Linked DNA regions of Anolis sagrei. The protein of the gene in region 2 interacts with the protein of the main gene of each other region in a pairwise test. Links are inferred from orthologs where the notes say so. Each region holds a gene or a part of one and is shown on either strand. Other genes may lie near its edges.

Evidence for each region.
Region 1: the proteins of LRP6 (region 2) and glycogen synthase kinase-3 beta-like interact in binary tests that used the Homo sapiens proteins (3 or more experiments, as listed by UniProt). The link is inferred for Anolis sagrei from reciprocal best matches to the Homo sapiens genes LRP6 and GSK3A.

What each region holds. Positions count from the first base shown.
Region 1 is NC_090034.1:109,126,268-109,133,858, reverse strand, and holds the start of glycogen synthase kinase-3 beta-like, read right to left. Parts: upstream 3,223-7,591; 5' UTR 3,035-3,222; coding exon 2,773-3,034; intron 104-2,772; coding exon 1-103. UniProt on the Homo sapiens protein: Constitutively active protein kinase that acts as a negative regulator in the hormonal control of glucose homeostasis, Wnt signaling and regulation of transcription factors and microtubules, by phosphorylating and inactivating glycogen synthase (GYS1 or GYS2), CTNNB1/beta-catenin, APC and AXIN1.
Region 2 is NC_090025.1:101,786,139-101,793,241, forward strand, and holds the start of LRP6 (low-density lipoprotein receptor-related protein 6), read right to left. Parts: upstream 3,137-7,103; 5' UTR 2,305-3,136; coding exon 2,250-2,304; intron 1-2,249. UniProt on the Homo sapiens protein: Component of the Wnt-Fzd-LRP5-LRP6 complex that triggers beta-catenin signaling through inducing aggregation of receptor-ligand complexes into ribosome-sized signalosomes.

The DNA.
Region 1 (7,591 bases), on a different chromosome or scaffold from region 2:
GAGCCGTTGCCGATGACCTTGATGTCCGAGTAGGAGACCTCCTGCGGGCGGTCCGGCCCTTGGCCCGGCGTGGCCACCACCGTGGTCACCTTCCCGCTATCCCCTGCAATAATAATAATAATATAATAACACTTTGTTTGTACCCCGCTACCACCATCTCCCCAAGAGACTCAGTGCGGCTTACATGAGGCCGAGCCCAAACACAACAACAACAACAATAATAACAACACGTTATTTGTACCCCGCTACCACCATTTCCCCAAGGGACTCGGTACGGCTTACATGAGGCCGAGCCCAAACACAACAACAACAACAATAATAATAATAATAACAACAACACTTTATTTGTACCCCGCTACCACCATTTCCCCAAGGGACTCGGTACGGCTTACAAGAGGCCGAGCCCAAACACAACAATACAAGCAATAATAATAATACAAGCAATTAAAAACATAAACAATAAAGTACACAACATTATCAATAATGCAAGGAGGAAGGAAGGAAGGAAGGAAGGAAGGAAGGAAGGAAGGAAGGAAGAGGAGTGTCAGGGGCCTGGCCTCGGCCCCCTTGCCTTGCCTGGCCCGTTCTCTCCAGGGTTAGACCGGGGTCTCTGGAGGAGGGCTTGCGTCCCTCCTGCTTTGCCCCTTGACCACCACCCTTGCTGCCCCTCAGGAGGAGAGAGTGACCCTCGGCATCTCCCTCTGAGGCTCGGCCTAGGACTGAACTTCCCACTCAAGGAGGGGGGCACCAAGATGCCCTGCTTACCTTTGAAAATGGCATTCAAAGCACTCCCAACAGATGGCCATCCAGTGGGAGCCCGTGTGCCCCACTCCCTTGACCACTGGGGTGCCCCTCAGCACCTCCCTCTGAGGTGTGTGTGTGTGTGTGGAGGGGGGGTCTTGACCTAGGGCTGCACTGAGATGCCTTGCTCACTTTTGAAAATGGCATTCAAAGCACCCCAAATAGATGGTCATCCAGGAGGAGCCCGTGTGACCCACTCCCTTGACCACTGGGGTGCTTCTCTGAGGTGTCTGTGGGGGGGGGGGTCTTGACCTAGGGCTGCCCTGAGATGCCTTGCTCACCTTTGCCCCCACCCACCCCCACCTGGGCTGCCCCCTCGGCACCTCCCTCTGAGCTCTGAGGTGTGTGTGTGGTGGAGAAGGGTCTTGGCCTAGGGCTGTACTGAGATGCCCTGCTCACCTTTGCCCCCACCCACCCCTACCCCCACGTGTGAAAATGGCATTCAAAGCACCTCCAACAGATGACCATCCAGGAGGAGCCTGTGTGTCCCGCTCTCTTGACCACTGGGGTGCTTCTCTGAGGTGTCGGGGGGGGGGGAGTCTTGGCCTAGGGCTGCTCACCTTTGCCCCAACCCGCCCCCACCTAGGCTGCCCCCTTGACCACTGGGGTGCTTCTCTGAGGTGTCTGTGTGGGGGGGGGGGGGGGGCTGCACTGAGATGTCCTGCTCACCTTTGCCCCCACCCACCCCCACCTGGGCTGCCCCCTCGTCACCTCCCTCTGAGGTATCTGTGTGTGTGGGGGGGGGGGGGGGGGTTCTTGGCCTAGGTCTGCACCAAGATGCCTTGCTCACCTTTGCCCCCACCCACCCCCACCCCCACCCCCCATTCAGAGCACCCCCAACAGATGGCCATCCAGTGGGAGCCCGTGTGCCCTGCTCCCTTGACCACTGGGGTGTCCCTCGGTGTGTGTGGGGGGGTCTTGGCCTAGGTCTGCCCTGAGATGCCCTCCTCACCTTTGAAAATTGCATTCAAAGCACACCCAACAGATGGCCATCCAGGAGGAGCCTGTGTGACCCACTCCCGTGAACACTGTCCCTCTGAGGTGCGTGTGTGTGTGTGTGGGGGGGGGGGGGGGGTGTCTTGGCCTAGGTCTGCCCTGAGATGCCTTGCTCACCTTTACCCCCCTCCACTCCTACCCCCACCCCCCCATTCAAAGCACCCCCAACAGATGGCCACCCAGGAGGAGCCTGTGTGCTCCACTCCCTTGACCACTGTCCCTCTGAGGTGTGTGTGTGGGGGGTGCTTCTCTGAGGTGCTTCTCTGAGGTGTCTGGGGGGGGGGGTCTTGGCCTAGGTCTGCACTGAGATGTCCTGCTGACCTTTGACCCCACCCACCCCTACCCCCACCCCCCATTCAAAGCACCCCCAACAGATGGCCATCCAGGAGCAGCCTGTGTGCTCCACTCCCTTGACCACTGGGGTGCCCCTCGGTGTGTGTGTGTGTGTGGGGGGGGGGGGGGTCTTGACCTAGGTCTGCACTGAGATGCCTTGCTCACCTTTACCCCCACCCACCCCTACCCCTACCCCCAGCCCCCATTCAAAGCACCCCCAACAGATGGCCATCCAGGAGGAGCCTGTGTGCTCCACTCCCTTGACCACTGGGGTGCCCCTCGGTGTGTGTGGGGGGGTCTTGGCCAAGGTCTGCCCTGAGATGCCTTGCTCAGCTCACCTTTGCCCCCACCCACCCGTGCCCCCACTTGGGCCACGCCCCTCCCGTCTGCGGTTGCCAGGCAACCAGATCCTCCTCCTCCCTTTCCCTTACTTAGTGGGCCACCCCCCTAACCCCTAACCTGAACCCGGATTCTCAAGACCCCTTCCCCAGTCCAATGACCTCCCCGTGACGTCACCGCGAGAGACCCAGGCCCAGGTATCTATCATAATAATCCTCATCATAATAGGAATAGAGACAGAACAGTGAAGGGAGGGGGGTGCGACCCTGGAGACCCCCTTTCCCCCTCTCCGCGCAGACTCACTTCCGAGCTTGAGTCCCGGGAAGGAGCCCCCCGACGACAAGCTCCCTCCCCCTCCTCCGCCCCCTCCTCCAGGCCCGGGCCCGGCGGCCTTGCTCCCTGCGGGGGGCGGCAGCGGGGGAGGGGGGGCCGAGGCGGCGGAGGAGGAGGGGGCGGCGGAGGTGTTGGGGGCGGCGACGGCGGCGGCGGGGGGCGCGTTGGAGGGGTCGGCGAAGGAGCTGGTTCTAGGCCGCGAGGAGGAGCCGCCCGCGCTGCCGCTGCTCATGGCGAGGCCGGGACGCGGAGAAGGAGGAGGAGGAGGAGAAGCCTGGCTCCCTATCTAGAGAGAGAGGCCGTCGCCACCACCACCACCACCGCCGCCGCCACCGCCGCGAGGCCCCACGGGAAATGGAGTCCCCTCCACTCTCTCGCCCCAGTGCCGGCAGCCGGACTCCGCTTCCCAGAAGGCGCCGCGCCGCCCTCCCGAGGCGCCGCAAAGCACGACGGGAGCGAAATGAGTTCCCCCGAGCCCGGCACGACTACACTTCCCAGACTGCGCCGCGCGGCAACGACTCCCACACTGACAGACCGACCTACCTTCAGGGGCGCGGGCGGGCCCCCCTCCTGTTTCTCCCCCTGTTCCTCCCGCTCCGCCTCGGCGCTGCTCCATGTCGGCGGTGTGGGCGGAGGGCCCTCCCGGGCGGAAGGCAAGCGAGCTCGGGCTGCGGCCTGGGCGCCGCGGGGCACGACGGGAGGCCGCGGGCCCTGCTCTGCTGCTCCCGGCATGCCCCGCGCCCAGCCTTAGCAGCAGGAGGCAGGAGGAGGAAAGAGTCTCGTGACCCGGCGGCGGAAACTACGTCTCCCGTCGTGCTTCGCGGCAGGAAGTGTGAGGGTTGGGACGCCCCCCCCCCCGAAAGGGCTGCTGGGAGGTGTAGTCCCGCGGGAGAGAGAGGGAGGAGACTCCGCTCCCATCAGCCTCTTGGATGCTCCGGGCCCAAAGGCAGGCAGGAAGGAAGTATTAGTATCCCTGTATTGCCGAAGGCTTTCATGGCTGGAATCACTAGGTTCTTGTGGGTTTTTTCGGGCTGTATGGCCATGTTCTAGAGGCACTCTCTCCTGACGTTTCGCCTGCATCTATGGCAAGCATCCTCAGAGGTAGTGAGGTCTGTTGGAAGTAAGAAAATTGGTTTATATATCTGTGGAATGGCTGGGGTGGGGCAAAGAGCTCTTCTCTGCTGGAGCTAGGTGTGAATGTTGCAAAATAGCAGAGAGGAAACAACCAGGTACATCTTAACACCTCTCAACAAAAGATTTTCCCAGGCTCAGCCAGGCCTTCAAATGCTAATGAAGGTGGTCAGCTGAAACATTCACACCTAGCCCCAGCAGACAAGAGTCCTTTGCCCCACCCTGGTCATTCCACCGATATATAAACCCATTTTCCTACTTCCAACAGACCTCACTACCTCTGGGGATGCTTGCCATAGATGCAGGCGAAACGTCAGGAGAAAAATTGCCTCCAGAACATGGCCATATAGCCCGGAAAAACCTACAAGAACCTATTAGTATCCCTATTGGAATATGGATTAATGGACAATGAGAGTGGATGCTGATTCTACTGATGAGACGTGATGGATTGCTATTTTGTTGTATTGTTGTATTGATGTTTTGATGTGAATTAATTGATATTGCTGTCTTAATTGAGTAATGATCTGTTTTGTGCTGCTGAATTCGTTGTTAACCGCTCTGAGTCGCCTGAGGGCTGAGAAGAGCAGTATACAAGGGAAGTAAATCAATCAATCAATCAATCAATCAATAATAAGTAGGTTCTTGTGGGTTTTTTCGGGCTATTTGGCCATGTTCTAGAGGCATTCTCTCCTGACGTTTCGCCTGCATCTATGGCAAGCATCCTCAGAGGTTGTGAGGTCTGTTGGAAATAGGACAATGGGTTTATATATCTGTGGAATGACCAGGGTGGGACAAAAGACTCTTGTCTGCTGGAGCTAGGGGTGAATGTTTCAACTGACCACCTTGATTACAATTTGATGGCTTGGAAGTGTCTGGGGGAATCTTTTGTTGAGAGGTGATTAGATGTCCTTGAGTTGTTGTACTTTTTTCCGGGCTATAGGGCCATGTTCTAGAGGCATTCTCTCCTGACGTTTCGCCTGCATCAATGGCAAACCTCCTCAAAGTTAGTGAGGTCTCTTGGAAATAGGAAAATTGGGTTTATATATCTGTGGAAAGACCAGGATGGGACAAAGGACTCTTGTCTGCTGAAGCTAGGTGGGAATATTTCAACTGACCACCTGGCAGTGCCTGGGGCAATCTTTTGTTGAGAGGTGATTACATGCTGGACCACTCTCACAATCACCACTGTTTACAAAAAACAGAAGAAGGTTGAATCTGTATTGTCAAAGGCTTTCGTGGCCGGAATAACTGGGTTCTTGTGGGTTTTTCCGGGCTGTATGGCCATGTTCTAGAGGCATTCTCTCCTGATGTTTCGCCTGCATCTATGGCAAGCATCCTCAGAGCTTGTGAGGTCTGTTGGAAGTAGGAAAATGGGTTTATATATCTGTGGAATGGCTGGGGTGGGGCAAAGAGCTCTTCTCTGCTGCAGCTAGGTGTGAATGTTTCAACTGACCACCTTGATCAGCATTTGATTTCCTGGCAGTGCCTGGAGCAATCTTTTGTTGAGAGGTGGTTAGATGTCCTTGTTTGTTTCCTCTCTGTTATTTTGCTGTTGTTTTGTTCAATGAACAAAATCTGGCTACCAGTATTAAAAAACTCTAAAATTGCAACAGCAAAACAACAGAGAGGAAACAACCAGGCACATCTTAACACCTCTCAACAAAAGATTCCCCCAGGCTCAGCCAGGCCTTCAAATGCTAATGAAGGTGGTCAGCTGAAACATTCACACCTAGCTCCAGCAGAGAAGAGCTCTTTGCCCCACCCCAGCCATTCCACAGATATATAAACTCATTGTCCTATTTCCAACAGACCTCACTCCCTCTGAGGATGCTTGCCATAGATGCAGGCGAAACGTCAGGAGAGAATGCCTCTAGACCATGGCCATACAGCCTGAAAAAACCTACAAGAACCTAGTGATTCCAGCCATGAAAGCCTTCGACAATACAAGGAAGGAAGTATTAGTATTAGCTCCAGGCTCAGCGATGAATCCAGGGTCACACCCAAGCTGCGAACCTGCATCTTCAGCGGGAGTGTAACCCCGTCCAACACAGGTTGTAACCCTATACCCTGTTCGGCCTTTCGCCTGACCAGGAGTACCTCTGTCTTGTCTGGATTTAGTTTCAGTTTGTTCGCCCTCATCCAGACCGTCACAGCGGCCAGGCACCGGTTCAGGACCTCGACAGCCTCCTTAGTAGCAGGTGGGAAGGAGTGACAGAGTTGGACATCATCCGCGTACAGGTGACACCGCACCCCGAAACTCCGGATGATCTCTCCCAGCGGCTTCATGTAGATGTTAAACAGCATGGGGGATAATATAGAGCCCTGTGGAACCCCACAAGACAATGGTTGTGGGGATGAACAGGTGTCCCCCAATAACACCTTCTGGGAACGACCCTCCAGAAATGACCGGAGTCACTGCAAAACAGTACCTCCGAGACCCATTTCCGCAAGACGCCCCAGAAGGATACCGTGGTCGACGGTATCGAAGGCCGCTGAGAGGTCCAGCAGAACTAACAGGGACACACTCCCCCTGTCGAGCTCCCGGCGAAGATCATCCACTAAGGCGACCAAGGCTGTCTCGGTACCATGCCCCGGCCTAAAGCCAGACTGTGCCGGATCCAGATAATCCGTGTCTCTCAAGAATACCTGGAGTTTGCCTTTGGGCAATTGAGTGTCCTGCATTTCCTTTTGGCCCAATGTCCCATGGCCATGTGGTTTGTGTCAGTTGTATGGCATGAGCTGGAGATCATGAGAAAGAGCCACATCCACTGTTTTAGCGAGGTGATATGTGTTCCCCTCTTGGTATGCGTACTCAGCAGCAGAGTAGCAGATGCCTTCTAGAATCCTAGAGTTGGAAGAGACCTCCATGTATATTAATATGTATCTGCTGTAAAACAATGTATAACAAATGTATTAAACCATGATAAAATAATAAAAAATATTTACAGAAAAAACATACATCAATTACGTCTCCTATTTGTCCAATCTCATCATCCGGTTGTTCCAATTCCTATGTCATTTACCTTACATTTTCAAATGCTTATTCAAACAACCAAGTCTTGACTTTTTTCCAAAATGTTAAGGGGGCCGATCTAATGTCCTCGGGAAGGGCGTTCCATATCCGAGGGGCCACCACTGAGAAGGCCCTGTCTCTCGTCCCTGTTTGTGATGCAGGCGGGATCGAGAGAAGGGCCTCCCCGGACGATCTTAAAGTTATGATAATGTATTCCCGTCCTCCCCTTTCGGCTGGAGGCGGGTGCAACTCAGTCCCATTCCTCTGTAAAACACAGCTAAGAAAAGCATATATGAAGGCATCAACATATGAAGACTGGGATTGTGGTGCAGCTGGCTGAGTGTCAGAGCTGCATTAAGATCACTCTGACCAAAAGGTCATGAGTTCGAAGCCAGCCCGGGTTGGAGTGGGTTTCCAACCAATTGTGTGTAGCCTGTTGTCGACCTTTGCAACCTGAAAGACAGTTGCATCTGTCAAGTAGGAAAATAAGGTACCACCTTAAAAGTGTGGGGAGGCTAAATTAACTGATTTATGAGGCCATAAAGCAAAGCAGAGCAAAGCATTCCAGCGGGGAAACATGCGGGGAATGCGGAAGTGCTTCATCAGCGTCACAGATGGACGATGAAAGCGCCAGCTCCCCTGGCG
Region 2 (7,103 bases):
TATAGTAGCAAACAAATCATATTCCTGGCATGCTGTTCTTTCCTGAAGACTGTGGCCCCTTCCACTCAGCTAAATAAAATCCCACATTATCTGCTTTGAACTGGAATACATGACAGTGTGGACTCAGATAACCCAGTTCAAAGGAGATATTGTGGGATTTTCTGCCTTGATATTCTAGGTTATAGAGCTGTGTGGAAGGGCCCTCAGAAATAGCTTTGGGTATATTTAATCAACAAGGTTAGGTTCTACATGTATTTACTTATTAGTTAGAACATATGTTCTAACATAGATACACTTCAGAGTGGGATCTAACTAAATTAACTTTTTCCAACTGTTGCTTTGGGCCCTTCCACACAGCCCTATATCCCAGAATATTAAGGCAGAAAATCCCACATCATCTGAGTGTGGACTCAGATAGCCCAGTTCAAAGCAGATATTGTGGGATTTTCTGATATTCTGGGATATAGGGCTGTGTGGAAGGACCTTAAATGTTCTCACACTTAGCCCCCTTCTACCCTGCCATATAAAATCCAGATTATCTGCTTTGAACTGATTATATATATGGCAGCGTAGAATCATATAATCTAGATAATGTGGATTATCTGATTTGATAATCTGGATTACATGGCAGTGTAGAAAGGGCCTTAAAATTACAACTGAGGCCCCTTTCACACAGCTGTATAAAATACACATTGAACTGGATTATATGGCATTGTGGACTCAGATAACCCAGATCCCTTCCAGACAACCCCAATATCCCAGGATCTGATCCCAGGTTTTCTGCTTTTTCTGCACTGCCAAATAATCTGGGATAAACAGAAAATCTGGAATCAGATCCTGGGATATAGGGCCTGTCTGGAAGGGCACCCAGTTCAAAGCAGACATTGGGACTTTCCACAAAGCCACATAACACAGAATATCAAGTCATATAATCCACAATATCTGCTTTGAACTGGATTATCTGAGTCAAGACTGCCATATAATCCAGTTCAAAGCAGACAATGTGGGATTTTATAGAGCTGTGTGGAAGGAGCCACTGTGGAGTATCTCTCTTGATATTCTGGGTTAAATGGCTGTGTGGAAGGACCCCGAAATTAGGGAGAGATTATGTGGAGCTCAGTCCCCATGCAATTCAATCCGCACACCCACAACCAAGCATTTGCTTATTTGTTTATATACAACTTTCAGTCTCATCTAAACGATAGTTATTTGTGTGAATTCTAGTGTGGCTTGGTCTCAAATTCAGGAAATGGAGAATTATTTAGCAAGGCCTCTTCTACACTGCCATATAATGCAGTTCAAATCAAATATTGCAGTGTAGGGCCATTCTACACAGCCAAATAACCCAGAGCCCTTCCAGATAGGCTTTATATCTCAGGATATGATCCCAGGTTTTCTGCTTTAAACTGGATTATGAGTCCACAATGACAGCGCTCTTCCACAAACCCTATATCCCAGAAGATCAAGGCAGAAAATCCCACAATATCTGTTTTTAATTGGGTTATCTGAGTCCACACTCAGATAATGCGGGATTTTCTGCCTTGATAATCTGGGTTCTGTGGTTGTGTGGAAGGGCCTGGAGTCCACACTCAGATAATGTGGGATTTCCTACCTTGATATTCTGGGTTCTATGGTTGTGTGGAAGGGCCCTGAATCCACACTCAGATAATTTGGGATTTTCTGCCTTGATATTCTGGGTTCTGTGGTTGTGTGGAAGGACCTTGAGTCCACACTCAGACACTGTGGGATTTCCTGCCTTGATATTCAGGGTTCTATGGCTGTGTGGAAGGACCCTGAGTCCACACTCAGGTAATGTGCGATATTCTGCCTTGATATTATGGGTTCTGTGGCTGTGTGGAAGGGCCCTGAATCCACACTTTGTGGGATTTCCTGCCTCGATATTCTGGGTTCTATGGCTGTGTGGAAGGGCCCTGAGTCCACACTCAGGTCATGTGGGATTTTCAGCCATGATATTCTGGGATATAGGGCTGTGTGTGGAAGGGCCCTGAGTCTGAAGGCCAGTGTAGAGGGGGGCCTGAGAGAAAGGCCCAGAACCAACACATATCCACGGATGAAGGCAGGATCCCCGCCCCCTTCCAGCAGCCAGGCCTTTCCCTCTCGCCCCTCAGAGGTGTCCCTGCCTTGAGTAGACACACACAACTCCTAGGGAGGAGAGCCGCCTTGATTCCCCACAAGGCCCAACTTTCGGCCTGCCTGCCTGCCCGCCCGCCTCCCTCCTTGGCTCTCACCTCTCGCCAGGGAACACAAACCGCAGACGAGGAGGCTCCTCAGCACGGCGCCCATCTTCCCTCCTCTGGCTCTCACCGGCGGGGAGGCGAAGGTGGCGGAGGGGGAGGAGGAGGAGAGCGACACCTCCTCGGCCGCCCTCTCATGCTTTCGGAGGGGCAGAAACGGAGCGGCGCCGAAACAATTGCTTGGAGAGGCCTCAGCCGGGGAAGGGTCTTCCCCTCCCGCCTTTGTCTGTCTTCTCTTCCCGGAACAAACACTACTCGGCGGCCGGGGAAGGGGCGGCGGGAGGGCAGGCGCGCGCCCCCATGGCCCCCGCCTCGCGCCAAAGGAGGCCTCCCTCGCGCACTCGCTCGCGCACTCACTCCGTCGCGCGCCGCGGCCTCCCTCAGTCCAGGCAGCCTCGATCCCCCTTCCCTTTGGAAGCCCGGGAGGGAGGCCGCGCGCAGGAACTACGCATGCCTGCAGCCTCGCCTGGGTTTTCCGAAGGCACAATCTCCCTTCCTTCTTTCCTCCTCCAGCTCCTACGGCAAAGGCATTCACGTCGGCCTTTGCTCGCCCGGGCCCTTTCTTTCTCCGGCCTGCTTTCTCTCAGCCGCTTCAGTCCTCCTGGCAATCCGCTAGCCCTGCCGCATTCCTCAGGGACTTCTTGACGTCTCTCGGCTTGAGGAAAATGGATAAAATAATCACACAAAGTGATGAGGCTCCGGCAGCGTAGCACCCTGGACCTGGGAAGGGAGTGTCGGAACTACTTCCAGGGACACCGCGAGAGCCGCAGAACCAGCAGCACAAAAGAGGAGGGGGAGGGGGAGGCGAGGAGGCTGGGACACATCCGCCGCGCCGCCCAGGTGAACGACGCGCGGCTCCAGGAGGCAGGACGACGAGGATCCCTCCGCCAGGAGCGCCCAGGGAGGGAGGGAGGGAGGGACAGAGGGAGGGAGGCGGGCCTTTTCCTCGCGCACTCGCCAGGAGAGCATTGGCCGGGCTGTGGTGGAGATAGGCGGGCAGGCCTTGGCAGCGGGTGGTTACCTCACACAACTTGGGTCCTTCCAGACAGGCCCTATATTCAAGCATCTGATTCTAGGTTTCCTGTTTGCCTCAGATTATCATGAAGCAAAAAGTGGGCGCTAGAAACAACATCATAGGAAAGCTGACTGGCACAACCTGGGGATCACAACCAGACACAGTGAAGACATCTGCCCTTACGCTATGCTACTCTGCTGCTGACAGGGGCGGCTCGTCCATTACGCGAAGTAAGCGGTCGCAGAACACTTTTTTTTGCCAGGGGCGCAGAGGCGCCTCTGTAAATGCCCCTCGACTGCCACTTGAGGAGCACCCCCTCAGCTCACAACAGCCCTAGCAGTCCGGGGGGAGCCTCGGCTTTCTTGCTTCGCTGCCGGGCAATCCTCTTCCCAAAGGGGCCAGGCCCTTGAGCCTCGCCTAGCCCCTCTCGTTCCTGCTCCACCCGGCCACCGGGTGCGTGAGCAGAGCCGGCGCTCAATCATTCTCCGCGTTCGTTCCCTTCCCCATGACCGGCTCCCTTTCCCAATCCCCCGGCACTCCACCCGTCTCCTCTCCTCTCCCCAATCTTCGGGTAGGCCAAGGGGCGGAGCCGCCGCACCTGGCCTGCTTCGGGTCCGGAGGCATGTCTGAAGACCCCAGCGTGCACACCAAAAGTTGCCTCTTCTCCTGACTTTCTCTTCAGCCATTGGGACCGAGAGAGAGAGAGAGAGAGCCCCTCCGGCTGGAGGTATCTCCCACCTCTGCTCCCTCCTTTGTTTTTGCTCCTACCTTCAGGAAAGGTGGCATTCTCCACCTCTCTCTCTCTCTCTCTCTCTCTCTTGGTCCCAATGGCTGAGGAGAAAGTCAGGAGAAGAGGTGACTTTTGGTGCACACGACGGGTCTTCAGGCACGCCTCTGGACCCAAAGCAGGCCAGGCAAGGGAGCAAATGCGGCAAGTGTAGTTACTGGGATGTATAGTTCACCTACAATCAAAGAGCATTCTGAACTCCACCAATGATGGAATTGAACCAAATATGGCATACACAATTCCCATGACAAACGGAAAATATATATCAATGATTGGTTGGGGAGGGGGGTGCCAAAATACTGTTTGCTTACCGTTGAAAATTACCTAGGGCCATCTCTGGCTGCTGAGTATGCATTCCCAGTGTGGAACACATCTCACTACACTAAAACAGTGGATGTGGCTCTTAATGAAACATGCCGCATTATCACAGGGTGTCTGCGCCCTACACCACTGGAGAAATTACACTGCTTAGCCGGTATTGCACCACCTGACATCCACCGGGAAGTAGCAGCCAATAGTGAAAGGACCAAGGCAGAGACATCTCCAGTTCATCCCCTGTTTGGGTATCAGGCAGCACATCAATGACTTAAATCTAGAAATAGTTTTCTAAGATCTACAGAGACACTCGCCGGAACACCTCAGCAAGCGAGAGTCCAAAAGTGGCAGGCTCAAACCCAGAACCTCAACCAATCGCTGATACCAAATGAGAGACTCCCCCCTGGGCACACAGAGGAGTGGGCGACTTGGAAGGCGCTGAACAGACTGCGCTCTGGCACCACGAGGTGCAGAGCCAATCTTAAGAAATGGGGCTACAAAGTGGAATCCACGGCATGCGAGTGCAGAAAAGAGCAAACCACAGACCACCTACTGCAATGCACCCTGAGCCCTGCCACATGCACCATGGAGGACCTTCTTGCGGCAACACCAGAGGCACTCCAAGTGGCCAGATACTGGTCAAAGGACATTTAATCAACTACCAAGTTTACAAAGTCTGTGTGTTTTTTTTAATCTGTGTGTTTGTTTTGTTCTGTTAGAAATGTAATACAATGGTATGGTTGCTGATGACACGATAAATAAAAATATCAGACAGTGTAGCAGTCCCCGGTGGCGCAGTGAGTTAAAGCCCTGTGCCAGTAGGACTGAAGACCGACAGGTCGCAGGTTCGAATCCAGGGAGAGGCGGATGAACTCCCTCTATCAGCTCCAGCTCCTCATGCGGGGACATGAGAGAAGCCTTCCACAAGGATGATAAACACATCAAATCATCCGGGCGTCCCCTGGGCAACATCCTTGCAGACGGCCAATTCTCTCACACCAGAAGCAACTTGCAGTTTCTCAAGTCACTCCTTACACAACAAAAAAAAAATCAGACAGTGTGGACTCTTATAACCCAGTTTAGAGCAGAAAACCTGGGATCAGCTCCTGGAATATGAGGCCTGTCTGAGGCTTTGAACTAATAATAATAATAATAATAATAATAATAATAATAATTTATTGATTGATTAATTTGACTAGTGATATGACCAGGCCTGTAGCCGGGGGAGGGGGGTACAGGTTCAACCCCCACCCACCCACCCCCAAATTTTTCAGGTTAAAAAAAACCTAGTTTACTCATGAAGTTTAAATGGTTAACCAAATCCCCATGCTAAGTCTATGAGACGCAAAAAATTAAGAGTTCCTCCAGAACTACAAGCACTATCTCAAGCAAATATTGACAATTTATTCACACTGTCATTGTTGTTCATTCGTTCAGTTGTCTCCAACTCTTTGTGACCTCATGGACCAGCCCATGCCAGAGCTCCCTGTTGGCCGTCACCACCCCCAGCTCCTTCAAGGTCAGTCCAGTCACTTCAAGGATGCCATCCATCCATCTTGCCCTTGGTCGGCCCCTCTTCCTTTTGCCTTCCATTTTCCCCAGCATCATTGTCTTCTCTAGGCTTTGCTGTCTCCTCATGATGTGACCAAAGAACTTCAACTTTGTCTCTAGTATCCTTCCCTCCAATGAGCAGTTGGGCTTTATTTCCTGGAGGATGGACTGGTTGGATCTTCTCGCTGTCCAAGGCACTCTCAGAACTTTCCTCCAACACCACAGTTCAAAAGCGTCTATCTTCCTTCACTCAGCCTTCCCTAAGGTCCAGCTCTCACATCCGTAGGTTACTACAGGGAATACCATGGCTTTGACTAGGCGGATCTTTGTTGCCAGTGTGATGTCTCTCCTCTTTACTATTTTATCGAGATTGGACATTGCTCTCCTCCCAAGAAGGGAGCGTCTCCTGATTTCCTGGCCACAGTCTGCATCTGCAGTAATCTTTGCACCTCGAAATACAAAGTCTGTCACGGCCTCCACATTTTCTCCCTCTATTTTCCAGTTGTCACTCATTCTTGTTGCCATAATCTTGGGGTTTTTTTATGTTTAGCTACAACCCAGCTTTTGCGCTTTCTTCTTAATAATAATAAAATAATAATAATAATAACACTTTATTTGTACCCCGCTACCATCTCCCCAAGGGACTCGGTGCGGCTTACATGAGGCCGAGCCCAAACACAACAATACAGGCAATAATCACAACAATACAAGCAATCAAAATAAAACATAAACAATAATCATTTAACATCAATTAAACAACATACAGTTAAAACTGTGGGAAGGCCACATGTAAAAATTGGAATAGTGCTGAGGCATGGATGAAAAGGTGATAAAGCTGCGCCCGTATCTCGGGAAGTCTGACTTGGCCACGGTGGTACACGCTCTTGTCACATCCCGCCTGGATTACTGCAACGCTCTCTACGTGGGGCTGCCCTTGAAGACGGCCCGGAAGCTTCAGCTGGTTCAGCGCGCGGCAGCCATGTTACTAACTGGAGCGGGTGGCAGGGAGCACACAACGCCCTTGTTGTCCCAGCTCCACTGGCTGCCGATTTGCTACCGGACCCAATTCAAGGTGCTGGTTTTGGCCTACAAAGCCCTAAACGGTTCCGGCCCAAAATACCTTTCTGACCGCATCTTGGCCTACGAGCCCACGAGGACCTTGAGATCGTCTCGGGAGGCC